2 linked regions of the Ovis aries genome follow. The protein of the gene in region 2 purifies or fractionates together with the protein of the main gene of each other region. This does not show direct contact. Links are inferred from orthologs where the notes say so. Each region holds a gene or a part of one and is shown on either strand. Other genes may lie near its edges.

The links. Proteins that work in one complex are often made in the same cells at the same time.
Region 1: the proteins of PLD1 (region 2) and ARF1 purify together in Homo sapiens (affinity purification with western blotting; 3 studies listed by BioGRID, with this or other methods). This does not show direct contact. The link is inferred for Ovis aries from reciprocal best matches to the Homo sapiens genes PLD1 and ARF1.

The regions. Positions count from the first base shown.
Region 1 is NC_056058.1:2,770,303-2,774,174, forward strand, and holds ARF1 (ADP-ribosylation factor 1), read right to left. Parts: upstream 1,729-3,872; coding exon 1,581-1,728; intron 1,507-1,580; coding exon 1,396-1,506; intron 1,307-1,395; coding exon 1,182-1,306; intron 1,030-1,181; coding exon 868-1,029; downstream 1-867. UniProt on the Homo sapiens protein: Small GTPase involved in protein trafficking between different compartments. Modulates vesicle budding and uncoating within the Golgi complex. In its GTP-bound form, triggers the recruitment of coatomer proteins to the Golgi membrane.
Region 2 is NC_056054.1:216,595,508-216,599,360, reverse strand, and holds part of PLD1 (phospholipase D1), read right to left. Parts: intron 3,316-3,853; coding exon 3,198-3,315; intron 1,209-3,197; coding exon 984-1,208; 3' UTR 1-983. UniProt on the Homo sapiens protein: Function as phospholipase selective for phosphatidylcholine. Implicated as a critical step in numerous cellular pathways, including signal transduction, membrane trafficking, and the regulation of mitosis.

The DNA.
Region 1 (3,872 bases), on a different chromosome or scaffold from region 2:
GAGGGGCTGGGGCTCAAGGATGACCACCCGCACTCCTGCTGGTGAGACCCCAGAGAGCCCGGAGCAGGCAAGCAGGGGGGCTGCAGGCCTCCCGCTCCAGCCAGGGCGTTCCAACCAAAGTGCCCATGCTGACCCGAGAAAAGGCCGGGGTTCTTCCAAGGGGTCTGAGAACGGCGGCTGCAGCCTCCACCCCATCTCCTGGGCGGCCACGTATGCACAAATACAAGCACAAACGCTACGGGGGGTGGGAGGACCCGAGACAGAGCGAATCACAGGGACCCTACTGTGACCATGCAGAATGGGTATCACGGCTGGTTCTGCCCCGCTTCATGTTCCCAGCGGGAAACAGACCACCGGTGGACTGGACTCAGGCCGTCACCGCAGAACCTACATTAGGCACATTTCTCCCTTCTGTGTGTTCAAGTGTTCTCCTTATTTTGTATTTGTAACTATTTTAAAAAATGCACTGAGTTTGGGTTAAAAACCAACCACCAAAATGGATCTCAACACAGACCTAAAGCCCAGAGGAGGAGTATTGGGCTCGTCTGACACACAACTCCTGGATGACCCGTGTGCCTAAAATCCCTTCTGAGTACTAAACAGTGGGTTGATTTTCTTTTTACAATAAAAAAAGCTGAGTAATATTGCATAGGAGTACCAGAAACTGCCTCATTGGAAACAAAAACTATTTACATTAAATAAAAACCCAGTTGCAGGCTGCGTCTGCACATTTACAGCATGGTGAAGCACACTGTGACCGACCATGGAGACAGCTTCTGGCACTCACACCACAGGGGCACGTTTGCCACATGAGAGTAAAGCGAGGGTAGAAGGAGGGAGTGAGAGGGGAGGAGAGAGGATGACAGCTCATTTCTGGTTCCGGAGCTGATTGGACAGCCAGTCCAGTCCCTCGTAAAGCCCGTCCCCGCTGGTGGCGCAGGTAGCCTGTATGTACCAGTTCCTGTGGCGCAGAGAGTGTAGGCCCAGCTTGTCCGTGATCTCGGCCGCGTTCATGGCATTAGGGAGGTCCTGGGGGTGGCAGCACAGCAGGCGTGGGTCAGGGGGAGTGCATGGAACCCTTTCTACCTGACCTGTGGCCCCCCAGTCAGACCTCCAGCCCTGAGAGGCTGGCTGCCTGACGTGCACCCCCACTGGCACACAGGGTGTTCAGTCACACGTACCTGTTTGTTAGCAAACACGAGCAGAACGGCGTCCCTGAGCTCGTCTTCTGCCAACATCCTCATGAGCTCCTCGCGGGCCTCATTCACACGCTCTCTGTCATTGCTGTCAACCACAAAGATGAGGCCTGCAGAGGGGACAGTAAGCGTGACTGCAGGCACCCGGGACACCCCGAGCCCCACTCCTGAGGCGTGTAACGGGGCAGCTCACTCATACCTTGTGTGTTTTGAAAGTAGTGGCGCCACAGAGGCCGGATCTTGTCCTGGCCGCCCACGTCCCACACAGTGAAGCTAATGTTCTTGTACTCCACGGTCTCCACGTTGAAGCCTGGAAGAGAGCCGGGTGAGCCTATCCCCAGGGCCACCACCACCTCCCAGCCTCCCAAGGCCCAGCGTCCTCACCAATAGTGGGAATGGTGGTCACAATTTCACCCAGCTTCAGTTTGTACAGGATGGTGGTCTTTCCCGCAGCATCTAGGCCCACCATGAGAATGCGCATTTCTTTTTTGCCAAAAAGGCCCTTGAAGAGGTTTGCAAAGATATTCCCCATGCTGCACACCGGTGGGGGCAACACTGGCCAGAGAAACCTGCAGGAACAAGGAGTCCTGGGGTCTTTTTCTGTGCTGCCCAGGGCCAGGCAAGCAGGAGCAGCTCAGAGACCGCTCACCCAGAGCCAGGCTGAGGCAGCTGCTCCTCTCACAAGCTGATGAAATTCTGGTTCCTATCCAAAAGAAAACGGTCCTGCCCACCTACCTCTTGAGCCTCTAAATCAGCCTAACAAGGCAGCATATGGGACTCTTAGAACAAGGCTGACTGGAATGTGAAGCGGCTGCTCCATCATCTGAGGAACTTATAGCCAAGGCCTGAGGGCACCTTACCTCTAAGTCCTCCAACCCGCCACTCTGGGGTGCAGTAGTGTGGCTTTCAAATGGACGCTAGGCTCTCCATAACCTAATGCACAGTTCTTCAAGGGGCCAGAAACAACCACTTCAAGGCCCTACCATGTCTCCCAACTGCCCCAAGTCTCGATGAAGCAGAGTTCAATGGTAAGACAACTAACACCTGAGAACCTAGGAGGGCCCTGGCCAAGACCAGGAGCCAGCCCTTCCCAACATGCTGAGAGCTCAGCACACCCTGCAGGCAGGACTGGCTGAGTGAGAACACCCAGGGCTCAAGAGCAGCACACCTGCTGCTCAGTCCAAGAGTATTCAGCCCAAGGGTGAGCCCACAGCATGGCCACGTTAGGGAGCACCTTGCCAAGACCTGTGGTCAGCGCTGGTCGGAGAGGTGGCCTGCGCGGTGCAGCCACGAGTGTGCAGAAGCGCACGAGTGTGCAGACGCGCACGAGCGCTGTGTCTGCACCGCCCCCCACCCCCCGCCAGCTCGCCTCACTCAGCAGAGCAGACTGGGAGCAGCCACTGAGCTGACTGGACCCCAGGTCCGAGCCCAGGCCCCGACACCCAGACCTGCAGGAAGGGGTGAGTGATCACAGAGGTGGGGATCTCTTGTACTGGAAGACCCACATATGGCCTCTCCACACTCAGTATATTCATCCTTCAACTATTTTATTTCCAAACAGGGCTTTAGGAAAAAAACAGTCACTTTCTCAAATGCTTAGGAAATCTGGACTTAGCACCTAAGGTGAAGTCAAGCTGTGGAGGGCTGAGCAGCCTTCAACTGGGCAGATTCTGTGCGAGTGTTGACAGAAAACCAAATCAACCACAGAGAGCTTGTTCTAAGCTGATGGGAGATGCTCACACCTCATCACTGGGAGGGTGCTGGTGGAGGCTATTGTTGAGGTTGGGAAGGAGTCTTGCCCTGCATACCTAACCTCCCAGAAGTAACTATGAGCTTCCCAGTGTTTGAACTTTGGATGGATACTGCTTGGGTAAGAGGCCAGTTCCACGGAGGACGCAGATACGGGCCTGCCACAGGCACTCCCCCCTCCATTCTACGTAGGGGTTGTGCCCCAGACCCCCACCACCCCACGTCAACTCTGATGACAGGCTCACGTGGAGCTGCCAGGTCTCCATCGTAAGCCCCTTTCTGCCTTAGCCATCAGGGAGCATCTGGGGACTATGTACACGTTCCGCTTCTCATCCAGCTTCCACCCTCTAGTTTCAGCATGCTGACATTTCCTGGCTGAATTACTGCCATCAGGACTGTTCTAACGGTGGTTTTCTACAGTCATTCCTTCCAGCGTTAGTTAGCCTTCTACCCAAGGAACCAGCACTCTCTCCTCCATACACTGACACGGTGTGAGCTTGGGAATTCCCAGTTTGCTCAGTGGGTCAGACCGCCGCCCCACTGTGACCTAGATGCGCCAATGGCCTTAGGGGCATCCAGCGGAGCCCCTTCTAGCAGGCCTCAGTGCTCTTTCAACATTTTAAAGTTCTTTTTGGTTTTGAATAATATTACCTATTTATAAAATTAACATTTAAAAAAGATCTTTACTATGGTATTTCCTTTTCGGCAGACAACCACTTTTCCTAAATATAGAGGATGATAAATTATGGAAAACAGAATGAACTGAACGCGTATTTATCTCAGCTTATTTCTGAAGTCACTACCAATAAAGAAGTAAAGGACCGAGAGCAGGTGCAATTCTGGTGGGGTCTGGCCCTGGCCAAGCATCATCCTCAGCCCTGCAGGAGAGCCAGGCGACCTTTTTGGAGCAACTGAATCAGGGGTCCT
Region 2 (3,853 bases):
TTATTTTGAAATGTGGAAACTCCAATTTCAATCAATCTGGCAGCTAAGGATGGCAGGAAATTTTACAGGACTGTAAGAAATGTTCTTTCCTTATCTGAATCTGATTCCCACCAACATGTTGGTGATTTCTGAAGGCTATATGCTCTGTCTTTGAGTTTTATGGGTTGCTGTGTAATCAAATATCCTACACATGTTTTCAAATCTGATCCGGTGGGCCCTATCATAAGGACACATCTTGTCGGTGCCTTTGGAGGTAAAGTGAAATCTCTGCTGTAATAACCAAATTTAATTCTTTCCTGTTGCTCTGTCGTGTCAAGATACACACCAACAATATTATCAAAAGTACCTAACATGGGCTGCTATATAGACTAAGGTCTGTCCAGCCCTTTCAGTCACTGGAAAGGAAGAAGGACCACATCCTTGGTTGGGCACACACCACGACTCTAGGACCAGATGGGCAGAGCATCCCATGGAACCTTCAAGAATCTCAGAGCAGCATCACAACATCTTCTAGCAATAAACACTGTCAAACAGAACCTGTATGGATACAAGGTCCAGCAAACAACAGCTGCATGTGTGAGGATCAGAGGAAATTAAGGAGGTTCAGACAACTTTTGGCAACATAGATCAGTTACAGATAAATTCTTGTTAGCAAAGAAAATGCACTTTGGTATACATCACGGAATTGAAACACGTGTTGACATCACGGAATTGAAATATGTGTTGACGCTGTTGGGTATATGCTACCTAAGAATGCAGTCCCTTTTTCACAAGGAGAGGCATGAGGAATTATAAAGCCATGCCGATGTTCACTGTCCTTACATCAGTATGACGGCAGCCCTTCCAAGTTAACCCAAAAAGTTGCAATCCAAGGGGTGGATGTGTGCTCTGGGTCTGGGTCTGTCTGTTGGGTCTCCAGAAAGTCCGAATGTGACGTGTACTCTTCCAAGTGGAAGTCTCGGAGCTGCGAACAAGCACAACGCTTAAGTCCAGACCTCCATGGGCACCATGGCTTCCTTGGTTCCAACAGAAGGCAGTAGGTTCTCTTCAGATAAGAAATAAAAGGGGAATTGCACCAAGAACCCACGGATCTTTTTCAGTTCTTCCTCAGCTCTAATGGGATCCTCCTTTGCTAATACGGGCTTGCTTATAAAGTCTCTCAGCTGAATTAAATTGTGTACTTCATCATTGGGAAGGCACCGGAACACCTGATTAAAATGCAAATAGGAAACTGAGTGATAAGTTTAAAAGAAAGCATATCCCCTTTCTGGAAAATACTCATTCTGACAGACAAAGCCTATGTTTTATGAAACATATATTAGTTTTATGTTATATCACAGACCTGATTGAAGGGTTGTTTCTTTTATTTGCTACAGAGAATCCTACGTTTGCTTCCATCAAAAAAAAAAAAAAAATCATAGAGGACTTTCTTGGTGGTTCAGGGGTTGAGACTCTGAGTTTCCATGCAGGGGGCATGGGCTCAATTCCTAGCTGGAGAAGTTCTACATACCATGCAGTATGGGGAAAAAAAAAAAAAAAAGATAGATCCTATATCTGATCTATGGGGGAGGGGTGCTTCCCAGGTGGCTTAGTGGTAAAGAACTGGTCTGCCAATGGTGGAGATCTGGGCTCAACCCCTGGGTAGAGAAGATCCCTTGGAGGAGGGCATGACAACCCACTCCAGTATTCTTGCCTGGAGAATCCTATGAACAGAGACTCCTGGTGGGCTACAGGCCATGGGGTCACAAGAGTCAGACGTGACTGAGTGACAGCGCACACATGCATGTTGAATCTGCATTATCCCGTGACCGACCACAGGATAAGGTCAACCCAGTGGTGAGGAGATTCATGAGTGATAGCCCGCTTTAAGGTTAATTGTTTTGGATAATAATCATCCCTGCATTTCACTGGAGGTTCACGTCTAAAAGAAAAATTGTATATTTTCTCTAACTTTTTATTTTGAAAAATGTTCATGTCAGTACCTATACTTACAGTTATCAGTTATACATGTATTTTGCTAATTAAAAATAAGTTTCACATAACACTTCACACCTGAATACCTCAGCATGCATTTCTTAAGAATAAGGACATGTGCCTATGTATCCACAATACCATTCTCACACCTCAGAAAATCAATTTCATGTCATTTAAGATATGGCCCATATTGAGATTGATCTGATTATTCCCCAAATGTCTTCTAGAGCTGTTACTCCTCCCAATCCAGGATCCAAACTAGGCTGTGCCCTGCATTTTAAAAATACTCCACACACATGACCTATTTAATCATGGCCTTGAGTCCTCAGTATGAAATATGTCTATGTAGGTAATTGTTGTTTCATTAGAAACATGAATTTTTGTGTTCACAGATGAATTTTCTGTGCTGAAGGGAGTCTGGAAGTCAGAAGAATGCCCTCTTATCCTGTTTATGATAGACAGTCACATGATAGAGTCAATGGATCTCAGCTTGAATATTTTCTGTGATGGAAAGCTAGCTACTTCACGACATAACCTGTTCCAGGGTTGGGGGACTCTTAACTCTTGCACACCCTTTGTCATCACTAATGGATGGAATGTACTAGAAGAAGCATTTGGCTTCCCTAACAGATGAAGCTGGTTTTAAAACACCTTTCCAAAATTACAACTGTCCAAATGAGGGAGTTTCTCATTATTAATAAGCTTCGTCACTAGAATGGATATAATCTACCATGTGCTATGTACTAAATACATTTAACAGATTATTTTTTATCCTCATGACCACCTCATGAATATTCCCTCCAGTTTATAAGAGAGGAAAGAAAGGAAGGCTCAGAACATGAAATTACTATACACATACTTATGCCACCAGCAACTGTGTGAGCTGGGCTGAACCCAGGTCTGACTCATTTTTTGATCCCATCTGCTTTTTCTTTTTATTGCTAGACATGTGCAAAGTCTGGGTAACCACCTGCTAAGGATGCTCATGATGGGATTCTGGAATCTGAGACCAGAATGCCACTGAAGTCTCTTCTAAACCATAATCCATGGCTCTTTTTGACTCTGTTTTCTTAATGTCTACAAAGAATTATTTGATTATAATTTGGAGGTATGTTGTGTTTTTACACTCGTTAAGAATACTCTGTACCAATAACATGCAGAAATAATGATATACTTTTGTGATGTGATTCAATTTAAAAAGGAGGAGGATATGAAAATCTCACCTTATCATAAATTGTAGCATTTCGAGCTGCTGTTGAAACCCACACCTCCTTGAAGAATTTGTCACTCACTGGATCCTGAATGTCTTCACTGGGGCCAGAAAGATAGCCGAGAACAACCCTGAAATATAAGTGTCCTCCTGAATGAGTAACTGAGACAAAAGCAGTTTGTTTGCAGGCACTGTTTCAAATGGTACAGTAATTCAGGCACTCAACCATACAAGCCTATTTTTTTTTTTTTCAAAAGGAAATTAAAGGAAGCCATGTGTCCACAAGAGAAAAAGACAGCATGTACCCCAATGTTCATTGCAGCACTATTTTCAATAGCTAGGACCTGGAAGTAACCTAGATATCCATCAACAGATGGATAAAGAAGCAATGTTACATATATACAATGGAATATTATTCAGCCATAAAAAGGAGTGCATTTGAGTCAGTTCTAATGTGGTAGATGAACCTAGAGCTTATTATATAGATTGGAGTAAGTCAGAGAGAAACAAATATTATATATTGACACACATATATGGAATCTAAAAGATGGTACTAATGAGTCTATTTGCAGGGCAGTAATGGAGATGAAGACAGAGAACAGATTGTGGACATGTAGGGGAGGGAGCACGTGAGATGAGTTGAGAGAGTAGGGTGGGACGAATTGAGGA